3 linked regions of the Callithrix jacchus genome follow. The protein of the gene in region 1 binds, or shares a complex with, the protein of each later gene. Links are inferred from orthologs where the notes say so. Each region holds a gene or a part of one and is shown in the gene's direction. Other genes may lie near its edges. The genes, in order: GNAO1, P2RY2 and ADRA2A.

Evidence for each region.
Region 2: the proteins of GNAO1 (region 1) and P2RY2 are in contact, whole or in part, in a cryo-EM structure (PDB 9K20), measured with the Homo sapiens proteins. The link is inferred for Callithrix jacchus from reciprocal best matches to the Homo sapiens genes GNAO1 and P2RY2. Residues at the interface, in NP_066268.1 of Homo sapiens: Ala31, Lys32, Asp33, Val34, Leu195, Gln305, Glu309, Glu318, Ile319, Tyr320, Cys321, His322, Met323, Val334, Phe336, Thr340, Asp341, Ile343, Ile344, Asn347, Leu348, Gly350, Cys351, Gly352, Leu353, Tyr354; in NP_002555.4 of Homo sapiens: Asn66, Ser68, His130, Arg131, Gly134, Val135, Pro138, Leu139, Leu142, Arg143, Met221, Arg224, Leu225, Ala229, Tyr230, Gly231, Thr232, Ser233, Pro237, Ala239, Lys240, Lys242, Ser243, Arg245, Thr246, Leu308.
Region 3: the proteins of GNAO1 (region 1) and ADRA2A are in contact, whole or in part, in a cryo-EM structure (PDB 7W6P), measured with the Homo sapiens proteins. The link is inferred for Callithrix jacchus from reciprocal best matches to the Homo sapiens genes GNAO1 and ADRA2A. Residues at the interface, in NP_066268.1 of Homo sapiens: Ile28, Lys32, Lys193, Asn194, Leu195, Asp218, Phe336, Thr340, Asp341, Ile343, Ile344, Ala345, Asn347, Leu348, Gly350, Cys351, Gly352, Leu353, Tyr354; in NP_000672.3 of Homo sapiens: Arg77, Arg146, Ser149, Ile150, Ala153, Ile154, Asn157, Leu158, Arg160, Pro162, Ile234, Ala238, Arg241, Arg383, Arg386, Phe387, Val390, Leu391, Phe444, Asn445, His446.

Annotation. Positions count from the first base shown.
Region 1 is NC_133521.1:14,059,772-14,063,613, forward strand, and holds the start of GNAO1 (guanine nucleotide-binding protein G(o) subunit alpha), read left to right. Parts: upstream 1-1,124; 5' UTR 1,125-2,022; coding exon 2,023-2,140; intron 2,141-2,326; exon of another isoform or gene 2,327-2,357; coding exon 2,358-2,400; exon of another isoform or gene 2,401-2,518; intron 2,519-3,842. UniProt on the Homo sapiens protein: Guanine nucleotide-binding proteins (G proteins) function as transducers downstream of G protein-coupled receptors (GPCRs) in numerous signaling cascades.
Region 2 is NC_133511.1:67,737,763-67,741,604, reverse strand, and holds the start of P2RY2 (P2Y purinoceptor 2), read left to right. Parts: upstream 1-1,544; 5' UTR 1,545-1,687; exon of another isoform or gene 1,688-3,842. UniProt on the Homo sapiens protein: Receptor for ATP and UTP coupled to G-proteins that activate a phosphatidylinositol-calcium second messenger system. The affinity range is UTP = ATP > ATP-gamma-S >> 2-methylthio-ATP = ADP.
Region 3 is NC_133513.1:104,006,347-104,010,188, forward strand, and holds the start of ADRA2A (alpha-2A adrenergic receptor), read left to right. Parts: upstream 1-1,439; 5' UTR 1,440-2,407; coding exon 2,408-3,808; 3' UTR 3,809-3,842. UniProt on the Homo sapiens protein: Alpha-2 adrenergic receptors mediate the catecholamine-induced inhibition of adenylate cyclase through the action of G proteins.

The DNA of each region.
Region 1 (3,842 bases):
ATGGAACTAATTGTAAAATTATTTTGTGCAGTAAAAAATTCATTTCTTCAAAATCTGAGACCACCCAGAATATGCCCAATCTTTGGCAAATATCAACTGGTTTCCTCAGTATTTGACTAGCTGTACACCGAGTAACTGACCCGGGTTTCTGGGTCTTTCTATCGGCATAGAAATGAGGGGGAAATGTTTCAGAAGATGAAAAAAGGAAGAAAATCTCTCATCCAGAATCTATTCAAAATTCATTTTGTGTGTTTGGAAGGGGGAAAACAGAAGAATTCAGTGCAAAGAGGCCTCCACCAGACTAAACCGTCCAACATCTGCAAAAGCTTTTTAAATAAAACTGCTCAGGGATCAGGGGTTTGCTGCAAGCTCCCGGTCGCTTGAAGCCCTGTCCCTCCGCTCCGGGCCCTCACGCCTCCGAGGGTGGGCACCCCTCTTGCACGGAGAGCGGCGGCTGGGATCTCCGAGCAGGGTCGCCGACGGCCCTGGAGGCAGCGGCTCCCGGAGAACAGGCCCAGGCTTTTCTCGGCCCGCTGCATTCCTCTCCTTACAGCCTTGGCTCTCACATAGTAGGTGCTCTATAAATGTGGACTAAGGACTCGAAAAGTCCGAATCTGTCCTCACGCCCCAGAGGCGAATTCTGGTGCGCGAGGTTTTATTGCAACCCACTACCACATCGCGTCTCCTGAGGTAACCTGACCTCGGCTCTGCGGCCCCAGCAGCTGGAGAGCCACGGAGAAGGCGGGCTGCGGGAGACAAGATGGAGAGCCTGCGGGAGAGGGACAGAGGCCGCGCTGGCCGCGAGCTGGGGGGCCCACCTGACTGCCGCGCTGCCTGCCCGGCCCAGCACTCCCATTGACAAGGAGGTCCGCGCCGCCGCCGCGTGGGGCGGGGGCAGGGGCGGGGTAGGGCGCCCCGGCGCGCGCCCGGCCCCACGCCCCGCCCCCGCCAGCCTCGCACGCGCCCACCCCCGGGGAGCCGCGGGCCCGGAGGGCGCTTGGGGGAGGGGGGAGGATGCTCCGCGAACGCGCGTGCGCGCCTCCGCCGGCTGACGCGGACCCCCGGCGCGCGCCTCCCCCGCCCCGCGTTCTCCCAGTCCCGGGGGCTCGGCGCGCGGCCCTGCTGACGTCAGCCGGCGGCCCGCGGAGCCGGGTGCGCAGAGTCGCTGGCTCACTCGCGCTCTGCGCTCGCCTCCTCCCCCAACCCGGGCCCTGGCGCGGGCGCGCTCCTTCGCTCTACCATTTTTTTTTTTTTCCCCTCCCTCCCTGCCTCTCTCTCTCTCTCCCTCTCCCTCGAGCACCCGGCTGGCCGCGGCTCCCTGGCGCTCTCCCTCTCTCCGGTAGGCTCACCGAGCGATGAGAGCTCTGGGAGACCGCAACGCCGCCTCCCGCTAGAGACCTGCCCCCCGGTCCGGCCCCCTGCCCAGCCCTGCCCAGCGCGCGGGGGTCGGCGAAGGCGCCGCGGACGCACCGACGGCTGAAGAGCGGCGATGCACATGCACTAGCAGCACCCCCTAACTCACTCCCTCCACATCCCGCGCCGCCGCCGCCGCCTCCGCCACCTCCTCCTCCGCCGCCGCCACCGCCTCCTCCTCCAGCAGCCGCGGCAGCAGGACCCACCCTGCCCCCCACCCCACCCTCCGTCGGCTCCGGCTGCGGCTCCAGCCTCGACTATTATTTTATTTATTTTGGGTCGTGCACAAGCCTCAGTGCCTGCAGCCCGCGCCTCCTCGGCCCGCGGGCGCCTCCTCCCTCGGCTCCGGAGCCCCTGACTCCGGCCATCCTCGACTCGACACCCCCAGATCCCCACCAGCTGCCGCGAGTCTCCGCTACTGGAATCTTGTTAGCGGCTGTCTTTTTGGGGGGTTCTGGTTACGCGACATTTTTGTTTCCAGCCCAGGAGAGGATATCGTGATTTTCCCCCCTTGAGCCCAGGCTCTGCTCTCTGGGGGGGTGGGGGGCGCGCCGAGCCGGGGAGCCGTGCCAGCGGAGTTGTGCGGGCTGTGGCAGGGAAGGGGCCACCATGGGATGTACTCTGAGCGCAGAGGAGAGAGCCGCCCTCGAGCGGAGCAAGGCGATTGAGAAAAACCTCAAAGAGGATGGCATCAGCGCCGCCAAAGATGTGAAATTACTCCTACTGGGTAAGAACCGCCGCTACCACCCCCATCCCCCGACCCCGGCCACTCCGCACCCCTGCCGCCAGCTCCTCCACCCCACCCGCAGCCGGTAGACCTGGTCCCTAAGTTGGCACCACCATGTGCCCAGGATCGCCCACCCCCTCGCATGCCTTAGCCCCCCCCCCCCCGTTCCTTTAAGCTGACACTCACCAGTTTTTCCCCACTGTCTGTGTCCCAACAGGGGCTGGAGAATCAGGAAAAAGCACCATTGTGAAGCAGATGAAGTAAGTCCCTGTGGCACTGGGATTTGTACTTTTATTAAGAATAATTTTTAAAATCGTTTTTATTACCTTGCTTACTCCACATTGCTCTCCAGGCCTGTTTTTTAATTCGTGCACACACACGCACACACACACACACACCCCTATATTTGACTCCCCTCCCCCACTCCCTACGTTGGTTCTTGGTCCTCCACCCCAACTACCGGGTGGGTGTTTTTTGGGAGGGGGAAGGGGAGCGCCTGTAGTTGTATGAATGACAGCGTCCGCCATATTGATCAGAACATCACACTATTGGCATGAATATGATCATTACTCTTGCTTGTGGAATATTTTGTGTCTCACTGCCTCCATTTCTGTGTCTCTGTTTCATTCTGTCTCTATTTCTCTCTCCTCTTCCCTCCATACCTCCCTATCCCCGAAGGTCCGTAATCCCGCTTCCCCCTGCTCTTCTCCTGGGGCAGTGATTTTGAACTTGGCTAACATGGAGGGGACCCAGCCCTAGACTGGGGTGGAGGATCAGGTGTCTGCTGTTCATGCGTTTGGTGCTGAATTGGAGGCTGTGTTTTCTACGTCTCCTCGCCCCCCCCCAAAAAAGAGGGGATTAGGGGAGGGGTCGTGTGCTAGGGGAAGGAGTGGGTTTCCAAGCGGTAGTGACTGGCACAGTTTTATCCAAGGTAGAGGTGGAAGGGGGAGGGAAGCTGCCTGTGAGGCTGAATGTCCGCCCCTTGCTGCCCCCAGCTCCTCTCCTCCCCCACCCTCCCAGCATTGCTCTCCTGATACCCGCAGTTTTCCTTCGCTCCGTGGCCTTTATCAGTGTATTTATTTACACTCTGCATAGGCCATGTTCCATGCAATCTACTCACAATGCGGATTTCAGGCCCCACTTTCCGCCGCCCCCTTCTGCCTTAGCTATCAGTTTCCCCTCCTAATTAACTGGGGGTGGATTTGAGTGATGGTTGAAAATTAAAACAAAATGGGATATTCCTTCCCTTCCACACTTTCTCAATAAGGAGCCTCGCCCCTCCTTCCCACTCGCAGGCTCGCTTCTTGCCCTATTCACCCGGCAGTTCCTGGTGAGCCCACAGGCAGCTTTGCTTGGGGAGGGGGTGGCTGGCCGCAAAGAGGTGTGCGCCCTCGGGGCCTCCTGCTTCCGTTGGCCTGTCAGTTCAGGACGGAGGAGTTCGTTAAGACCGTTTAGCGAAAATTCCATGTCGCTTTGCTGTGACACCTTCGTGCACACACAGCTCCTAATTAGGGGTTGCCGTACAGTAAACAAAAATGATTATTTTTCAACTTGACAGAGTAGCCGAAGTAATTGCATCGCGTAGGGAAACAATGGAAAATAAAAACCCCTTTCGTGGGAAGCTGGGAGTGGGAGACGAAGCATGCTTGCGGTTTCAGAACCAAGATGCAAAAAATCTTGCATGTGTAACAGGCATGACAAG
Region 2 (3,842 bases), on another chromosome or scaffold:
TAGGCTCTTTCCTCTGCTCCTCAGGCCTAAGTTACCTGTGTGGTAGCTGAAGCCTGTATGTCTCAGGGATGCAGTTTCCTCAGTTGTAAAGTAAGGGAGTTGGGCCACAGGAGGGGCAGAGCCCTGGGCAGGCCACCAGCCAGGTTTGCCTGCTGAAGGCTTAGGTAGAGCCTGGGTCCTCATCTTGATGTCAAAGAAACTGGTTTCTCCAGGGCTAAATGGCAGTGACAGTATAAGGTTTGAAGTTTTGGAAGGAAGAAGAGAAACAGGGAGTTGGCTGGAGTTCCAGTGCCTAAAGGAGCTTCCCCACACTGGAACCTGAAGACCTAGGCCCTGTAACTTGGGCTATGAGGATACTTAGGTCCCTGGAAGCTGTGCGGTGCAGCTTAGACAATAGGCAGAGGAGGCTGGACAAGGGGCCTTTGTGTGTCCCAAGCAAAGGTCCCAGCAGGACTGCAGAGGCGGCTCAGCCACACTAGGCTGTGTGTCCACTCTGCTCCTGCTCCTGGCTGGGCTGCAGCCAGCACCCTTCCTGGACCCCTCCTGGACTGGCAGCCAGGCCCAGTCAGCTGATGTGGAGCCCAAAAGGGCCCAAGGCCCCAGGGCCCTGGGCAAGCTCCTTGGCTACAGGAAGAGGCCTCCTCTGCACTTGTCCAGCAACGCTAATGATTGATTCCATTTCACAGGAAAGGAGACCCTGAGAGGGACTGGAACTGGGTCAAGGTCTCCCAGAGTCAAAGCTGAAGCTGGGCAGGAACCTACACTCCTGATTCCTAGACCAGAAATGATAGAGGGGGGCCCTCATTCATTCATCCATCCACAACTTCAAGGATTGAGCACCTCCCAGGACCTGAGTCAACAGCAGGAAGAAGGCAGACCTGGTCGCTGCCCTCGGGAGCTCACAGTATCGGAAATGGTCAGACATGGGGAAATGGTCAGACATCAGAGTAGGGTTGAGGGCGGAGAAGAGAGTTAAAGCAGCTCAAGATGAGGGGCCAAAGAGAGTTGGGAGTTCAGGGAGCTGCTGGTAAGATTAAGGGAAAGCAGGGAGCACGGGAGGCGAGATCCTGAGTGCCCTGCTTTCCTTCCCAGGGTAGTGGGGAGAGGCACCACCTGTCTCCACTTTCAAGCAAGGGAGGTGTGTCCTTAGCCTGGGGTTCGGAGCAGATCTCTCAGAGCAGGTCCCTTCCTGGACAGCCGGGCTGGGGCAGGGGCGCGACAGGGGTCGGGTGGCGCGGCGGCTGGGAGCAAAGGTCCCGCAGTGGGCCACGCAAGCGCATAGCGGACATGGCAAAACTTTGGCGTCTCTGAAAACCCCTCCTTACCCGCTCCCTTCTGGCGTGAGGGAGCCAGGAGGCCTCCTTCTGGCCGGGCAGTGGGACGGTCGCCGCCCGCCCCTCGCGGTGCAGCACCGGTACAGACGCGCTGACCCCGCGGCCGTGTCGCTGGGTGGCGTCCCCGAGCGAGTGGCGAGGTGTCTACCCAGGCGGGTTGGGGGCGGTGCCAGGGTCGGTCAAGAGTCCGCCCCGCCCCCTGCCTGGCTCGGCTGGGGAACTGGGCCGGGAGGAGGCAGCGGGGCTCCCAGGCACGTGGGTCTCTGCGGCTGCGGCGGCTGGACGCTGGCACTGGCACCTGGGAGCGGCGGCGACGGCACCCCGGGCGGAGGGGCGCAGCTCAGTGAGGAGAGGTGGGGCGCCTGGAGGGAACAGGGGGCAGGGAGAGGTCGGCGGGAGAGGCCCCTGGACGCGGCGGGCCAGACTGGGGCAGGTGCCGACTGGGCGCGGGGCAGAGGAGAGCCCTGTGGAGCCGCTGTCGCCCCGGCCACCGTTGCGAGCCGGAGTGCAGCGCATAACTGGACGGCTTGAGCGCGCCTGTGGGTCGGTAGTTGAACTTTGTCTCCACGGGAGCGTCGGTCTCGATGAGTGTGGACCGGCGCCCGGTAGTGAGGAGAATGTGCGCGTCCGCGTATTGGGGAAGTCTGCGTGTTAGCGGGTGTGTGAGCCACTGGGGGCGACTGGTCTAGCCTGCGGAACTTGTCTGTGTGTGCTCAGATGTGAGCGCCCCCGTGGCGTGGGGTGGTGGGCGGTGCCCAGAGACACGAACCCCTGGAGACCCACTGCCCCTGCCCCTGTCCTGCCCCCAGGGTCACTCTGGGTGGCCGCCTGCCATGGTAAGGTTGAGGGGCAGTTGCAGGGAGTGGGCAGGGGAGGAGGGAGTGGCGAGGAAGGACAGTTAAGCTTCTGTCCCGGGACTTTTAATCTGGCAAATGGTGCGGTAGGAAGGGTCAGTCAGGAGAAAGGCGATGCCCCACCTCCCAACCCAAGGGCTGCCGGTGGCCCTCTTGGGGTCCTCCAGGAGCGCAGCCCAAGGGCCAGGGACTGCTGGGAACCCGCGTTGCCTGCTCGGAACCTGTGGGGTCCGCTGTGCAGTTCCTCTCGGCATGGCCTCTCCAGATTCCTGGGACCACAGCCTGATCTACCTGGTTTGTTTTGGATCTAAGCTGAAATAATGATGAGCTTTTGAGGATCTGGGTGGAGCCCCAGGCAAGTTTATTACCTGTGGGGTGAAGTGGGAGGAAGAAGATTCTCTGAGCAGACAGGTCCACAGGAGAGCTCTGGAGACTTAGAGATCTATGTTCCAATCCTGTCTTGGCCACTCTGTGGCCTGGACAACGCGTCCTTTCTCTGAACCTCAGTGTCCTCCTCTGTAAGAAGGGACTAATGATATGGAATTTGAGGGCTGTTTAGGAGCAGAGTTTGTCTTGCTCAGCACCACTGTTCCCCCTGGGCAGGCTCACAGCTTGGGGATGGGAAGCTAGTCCCTGGAGGGAGCCTCCCAAAACCAGAATCCCAACTCTGTCCCTCCCTAGGGCACAAGACTTCCACAGGACCAAGCCTGAAGCCTGTAGCCTGGGACTTAAGGCCTCTGATAACTGGGGCCTGCCGATCTTTCCAGCCACCTCTCCCGCCTGAGTCTTCACCTTGCAGCAGCTGCCTGTAGTCTCTCATTTCTTGCCCCTGGCCTACTGCATATTCTATACTCCCTGCCTGATAAGCCCTCCTACTCCTTCCTCAACTGGAGAACTACCCAGACTTGGGACCCAGCTCAGATGTCCCCTCCTCTGGCAAGCCTTCCTTGATCCCCCCCCAGCTGTGTAGGAGCCTCTTCTAGGCCCCTAGAGTCCTGGTGCTGACAGCCCTCGTCCCACCTGGACTGTCATGCTCTATGTCTGCCTCCTCCTTTCTTCTTTGCAGGTCTAGGGGCTCCTGGAGGGCAGAAACTGGGTCTGACTCATTTCTGTGTTGCCAGCACTCTGCACAGGGCTGAGCTGAACTGAGAGAACAGCAGGTTTCTAACCCCAGCTTCTCCAGTAAAGGCTTGGCTGCAGAGGAGCTCCATGTCACTACAAAAAAGGGCAAACCAGAATCTGGTTACCTGCTACTGGGTGGCACAGGTTGCCAGAACAGTGTGATCTGAGACACTATAGGACCCAGAGTGCCCAGGCTAAAGACCTAGATTTCATCCTGAAGGCAATAGGGAGCCATGGAAATTTATGAGCAGAGGAGATTCATGGTCAGAGCAGCATTTCAGAAAGAGCTCTCTGGCTGCAGGATGGAGAATGGATAAAGAAATGTCAAGGACAGGAGGTCAGGGTGTGTGTGATGTTGACACTAGAACCGTCCCAGGGGTTGTTTAAACTCTAATTGAGCCCTTGCCCCTTGGCCAAACACTTTTCCCTGAGCCTTCAGATGCTCCTACTGGGGAATTTGAGGACCTGCAATTGATCTCGTCCCAGCTCTGCTCCCGGCTTGTTGGATGACCAGTTCCTGCCCTGCCAGGCT
Region 3 (3,842 bases), on another chromosome or scaffold:
GTTCCTTAAATAAGACAACGTTTCTTTAAGGCTAATCTCTCTCCTGCTGAAATTTCCTACCCTCCTGGGCTTTACCTTTAAACTGCTTGCGGCTCATCTGAAAAGTGCAGCTAGCAGAGTGCAAGCTAGTGCTCTAGTGACCGTTTGAATCAATCCTAGGACAACTAGCACGCACGGAAAAACTTGCCTTTCTCTGCTGCCCCCACCTCCATCAGAGAGAACATGGAAAATGTTCCTTGGCCACTCCCTCCTCCCCTTACTGAAGGATGCTGTGTATGTGCATCTGAATGGGGGTGGGGTGGGAGGGTGGAGTCTAGCTTTCTTGCCTTAACAAAAACATAATGGTTCCCAGCAGGTCAGAGCTGGGCAACCCAGGAGGCAGGATCCCGTCCTCTCTCGGATCTGCAGGAAGGGTGGGGTGTGCAGGTCCAGGGTAGGATGCTGGTTCTGGCCGGCGGTGCCTGCGGAGCCCTTCCTGATGTAACTTCTTTATTAGACAAACCCTCACTCCCGCCAGGAGTAGACACACTAGCGCTGCTTTAGGAAGATTTCTGCAACACGGCAGGGTGCAATTCAAAATCTGGGTTCTCCTTTTCTGAGCTTAGAACACAATTTGTTCTGAGATAGGAGAAGGCTCTGTAGGCAGAAGATCGAAGAGAAGGGAGAAAGCGCCCGGCGTCAGCGGGTCGCTTCCAGCCGTGACCACGAGCGGCCAGCAGGTGTCAGTGCGTCCTCGCTCTGCCCTGGCGCTCGGCTCCAGGACCCCCTCCCCACCTCGTCTAAGGGGCGCAGTCCAGACCCCAGGTCGCGCGTGTCCCGTAGACAGCTGGGCGGCTGGGAGGACACGTAGCCACTTCTCCCCTAAGCGGAGTTCTGAACTCTGGCCTCCGGGCGTAATGGGTGCTGTCCATTCCGCCCCAGGCGTTCTATCCGAACCCGCGCCTTCCTCCCTCGCCAGGACCCCTCTGTCCCCAGCCGCTAGGAGCACCGGCGGGCCCGGTCCGCTCTGGCTCGGGGCTAGGAGGCTCCAGCTGTGACTCACACCAGAGGTTGCTTCCCTCGATTTGGGCCGGGATTCCCCTCCACTCTTTCTTCCCCTTTCTTCCAAGATCCACCTCCAAGAGGGCACTCACGGGTGCCCGTTGCATTCTGCTCCGTCGGCCCGGAGCTGCACCGCCAACTCCCAGCAGGGGCCGCTTCCCCACTCTCTGACCCCACCCCCTTTAAGCCTCTGGTTCAAGGTACCCGCCTCTCCAAAGGGCTCATCTCGCCTGAGGGCGACGCTCCCCGGGTCCCACGTTGGGCGCGGGCGCTAGACTGGCGGAGGGGTGGTGCGAGGGGCGGGGGAGGGTCGGCTTCCCACGTGGGGGCTGACGCCGGCTGCTCAGCAACGCCGGCTTGATCCTGGGGCTATAAAACGTGTCCACCGTGAGCGCAGCGGAGCAGCAGCGGCCCCGTCTCCGTGCAGACGCCGAGCAGTCGGCGCGCCGCCGCCCGGCCACTCCAGCGCCTTCTTCCCCAGCCTTGCGCTCCTGCCCCAACTCGCGCTGTCCTCGGTCCCCGGCTCATCCAGCCGCTCTCGGCTCCCACCAAGCCGACGCCCAGGAGATCCCCTGCTTCCGTCGCGGCTCCTGAAGAGCTGATCGTTCACCTGCCCCAGCCCGCCTGAGGACCGGGGTGCCTTCATGCGGCCCCCACACTCTTCACCCCGCCGCCGCCGCCGCCCCCGAGCTCAGCACAGTGCGCCCCAGCCGCAGCAGGGCGCACAACTTTGGAAGTCTCGCGGCGCTCCGAGAGGCGGCAGAGTCAGCGCCTCAGACCCGGGCCGGGCCCGGCCAGCACCGCAGCGTCTGGGGGAAGCCAGAGAGTCGGTAATCGCTTCGGGGATTTAAGGAGACAGACATAGGACCCTGAGCTCGCATCAGCACCCCTCAGCTGCCTCCGGGGTGGGGGCGGGCCCCGCACACGGTAAGACCTCTTGCTTTCGCTCAGGCTCAAGAGTCAAAATATAGATATTGATATGTATATGTATATTTAATTTCCTGTCATCCTTCCAAGTTATCAGGCCACCGATGATTTTTGTTCTCTCTTCTTGAAGAATAAATCTCTCTTAACCCATCGGCTCGCCCTACTCTCTCCCGCCGCTTAGAAATAAAACTTGGCTGTGTTAGGATCTCCGAGCGAGAAGGCGCCCACCGAGAGCGTCCGAAGCGCGGGCCAGGCGCAGTTCGCGGGATCCGGGCCATGGGCCGCTAGCGGTCCCCTAGATCGGGCCCGGCCTCCCTGCGGCCCCCTCCCTATGTGAGCCGCGGCCAGGCGAGCGGGGCGCCGGAGGAAGAGGAGGACCCACGGGCGCCGGGCCGGAAGGCAGCTGGCAGCAGGCCCAGGCGAGCGGGCACCCGCGTTCATGTTCCGCCAGGAGCAGCCGCTGTCCGAGGGCAGCTTTGCGCCCATGGGCTCCTTGCAGCCGGACGCCGGCAACGCAAGCTGGAACGGGACCGAGGCGCCGGGGGGCGGCGCCCGGGCCACCCCTTACTCCCTGCAGGTGACGCTGACGCTGGTGTGCCTGGCCGGCCTGCTCATGCTGCTCACCGTGTTCGGCAACGTGCTCGTCATCATCGCCGTGTTCACGAGCCGCGCGCTCAAGGCGCCCCAAAACCTCTTCCTGGTGTCTCTGGCCTCGGCCGACATCCTGGTGGCCACGCTCGTCATCCCGTTCTCGCTGGCCAACGAGGTCATGGGCTACTGGTACTTCGGCAAGGCGTGGTGCGAGATCTACCTGGCGCTCGACGTGCTCTTCTGCACGTCGTCCATCGTGCACCTGTGCGCCATCAGCCTGGACCGCTACTGGTCCATCACGCAGGCCATCGAGTACAACCTGAAGCGCACGCCGCGCCGCATCAAGGCCATCATCGTCACCGTGTGGGTCATCTCGGCCGTCATCTCCTTCCCGCCGCTCATCTCCATCGAGAAGAAGGGCGGCGGCGACGGCCAGCAGCCGGCCGAGCCGCGCTGCGTGATCAACGACCAGAAGTGGTACGTCATCTCGTCGTGCATCGGCTCCTTCTTCGCGCCCTGCCTCATCATGATCCTGGTCTACGTGCGCATCTACCAGATCGCCAAGCGTCGTACCCGCGTGCCGCCCAGCCGCCGGGGTCCAGACGCCGCCACCGCCGCGCCGCCGGGGGGCGCCGAGAGCAGGCCCAACGGCCTGGGCCCTGAGCGCGGCGCGGGCCTGGCGGGCGCTGAGGCCGAGCCGCTGCCCACCCAGCTCAACGGCGCCCCGGGTGAGCCAGCGCCGGCCGGGCCGCGCGACGCCGACGCCCTGGACCTGGAGGAGAGCTCGTCGTCGGACCACGCCGAGCGGCCCCCAGGGCCCCGCAGACATGAGCGCGGCCCCCGGGCCAAGGGCAAGGCCCGGGCAAGCCAGGTGAAGCCGGGGGACAGCCTGCCGCGGCGCGGGCCAGGGGCCACGGGGCTCGGGATGCCGGCGGCGGGGCCGGGGGAGGAGCGCGCCGGGGCTGCTAAGGCGTCGCGCTGGCGCGGGCGTCAGAACCGCGAGAAGCGCTTCACGTTCGTGCTGGCGGTGGTCATCGGCGTGTTCGTGGTGTGCTGGTTCCCCTTCTTCTTCACCTACACGCTCACGGCCGTCGGGTGCTCAGTGCCGCGCACGCTCTTCAAGTTCTTCTTCTGGTTCGGCTACTGCAACAGCTCGCTGAACCCGGTTATCTACACCATCTTCAACCACGACTTCCGCCGCGCCTTCAAGAAGATCCTCTGCCGGGGGGACAGGAAGCGGATCGTGTGAGCTTTCTGCGGGCGCTCGCGTAGACTCGTGCCGA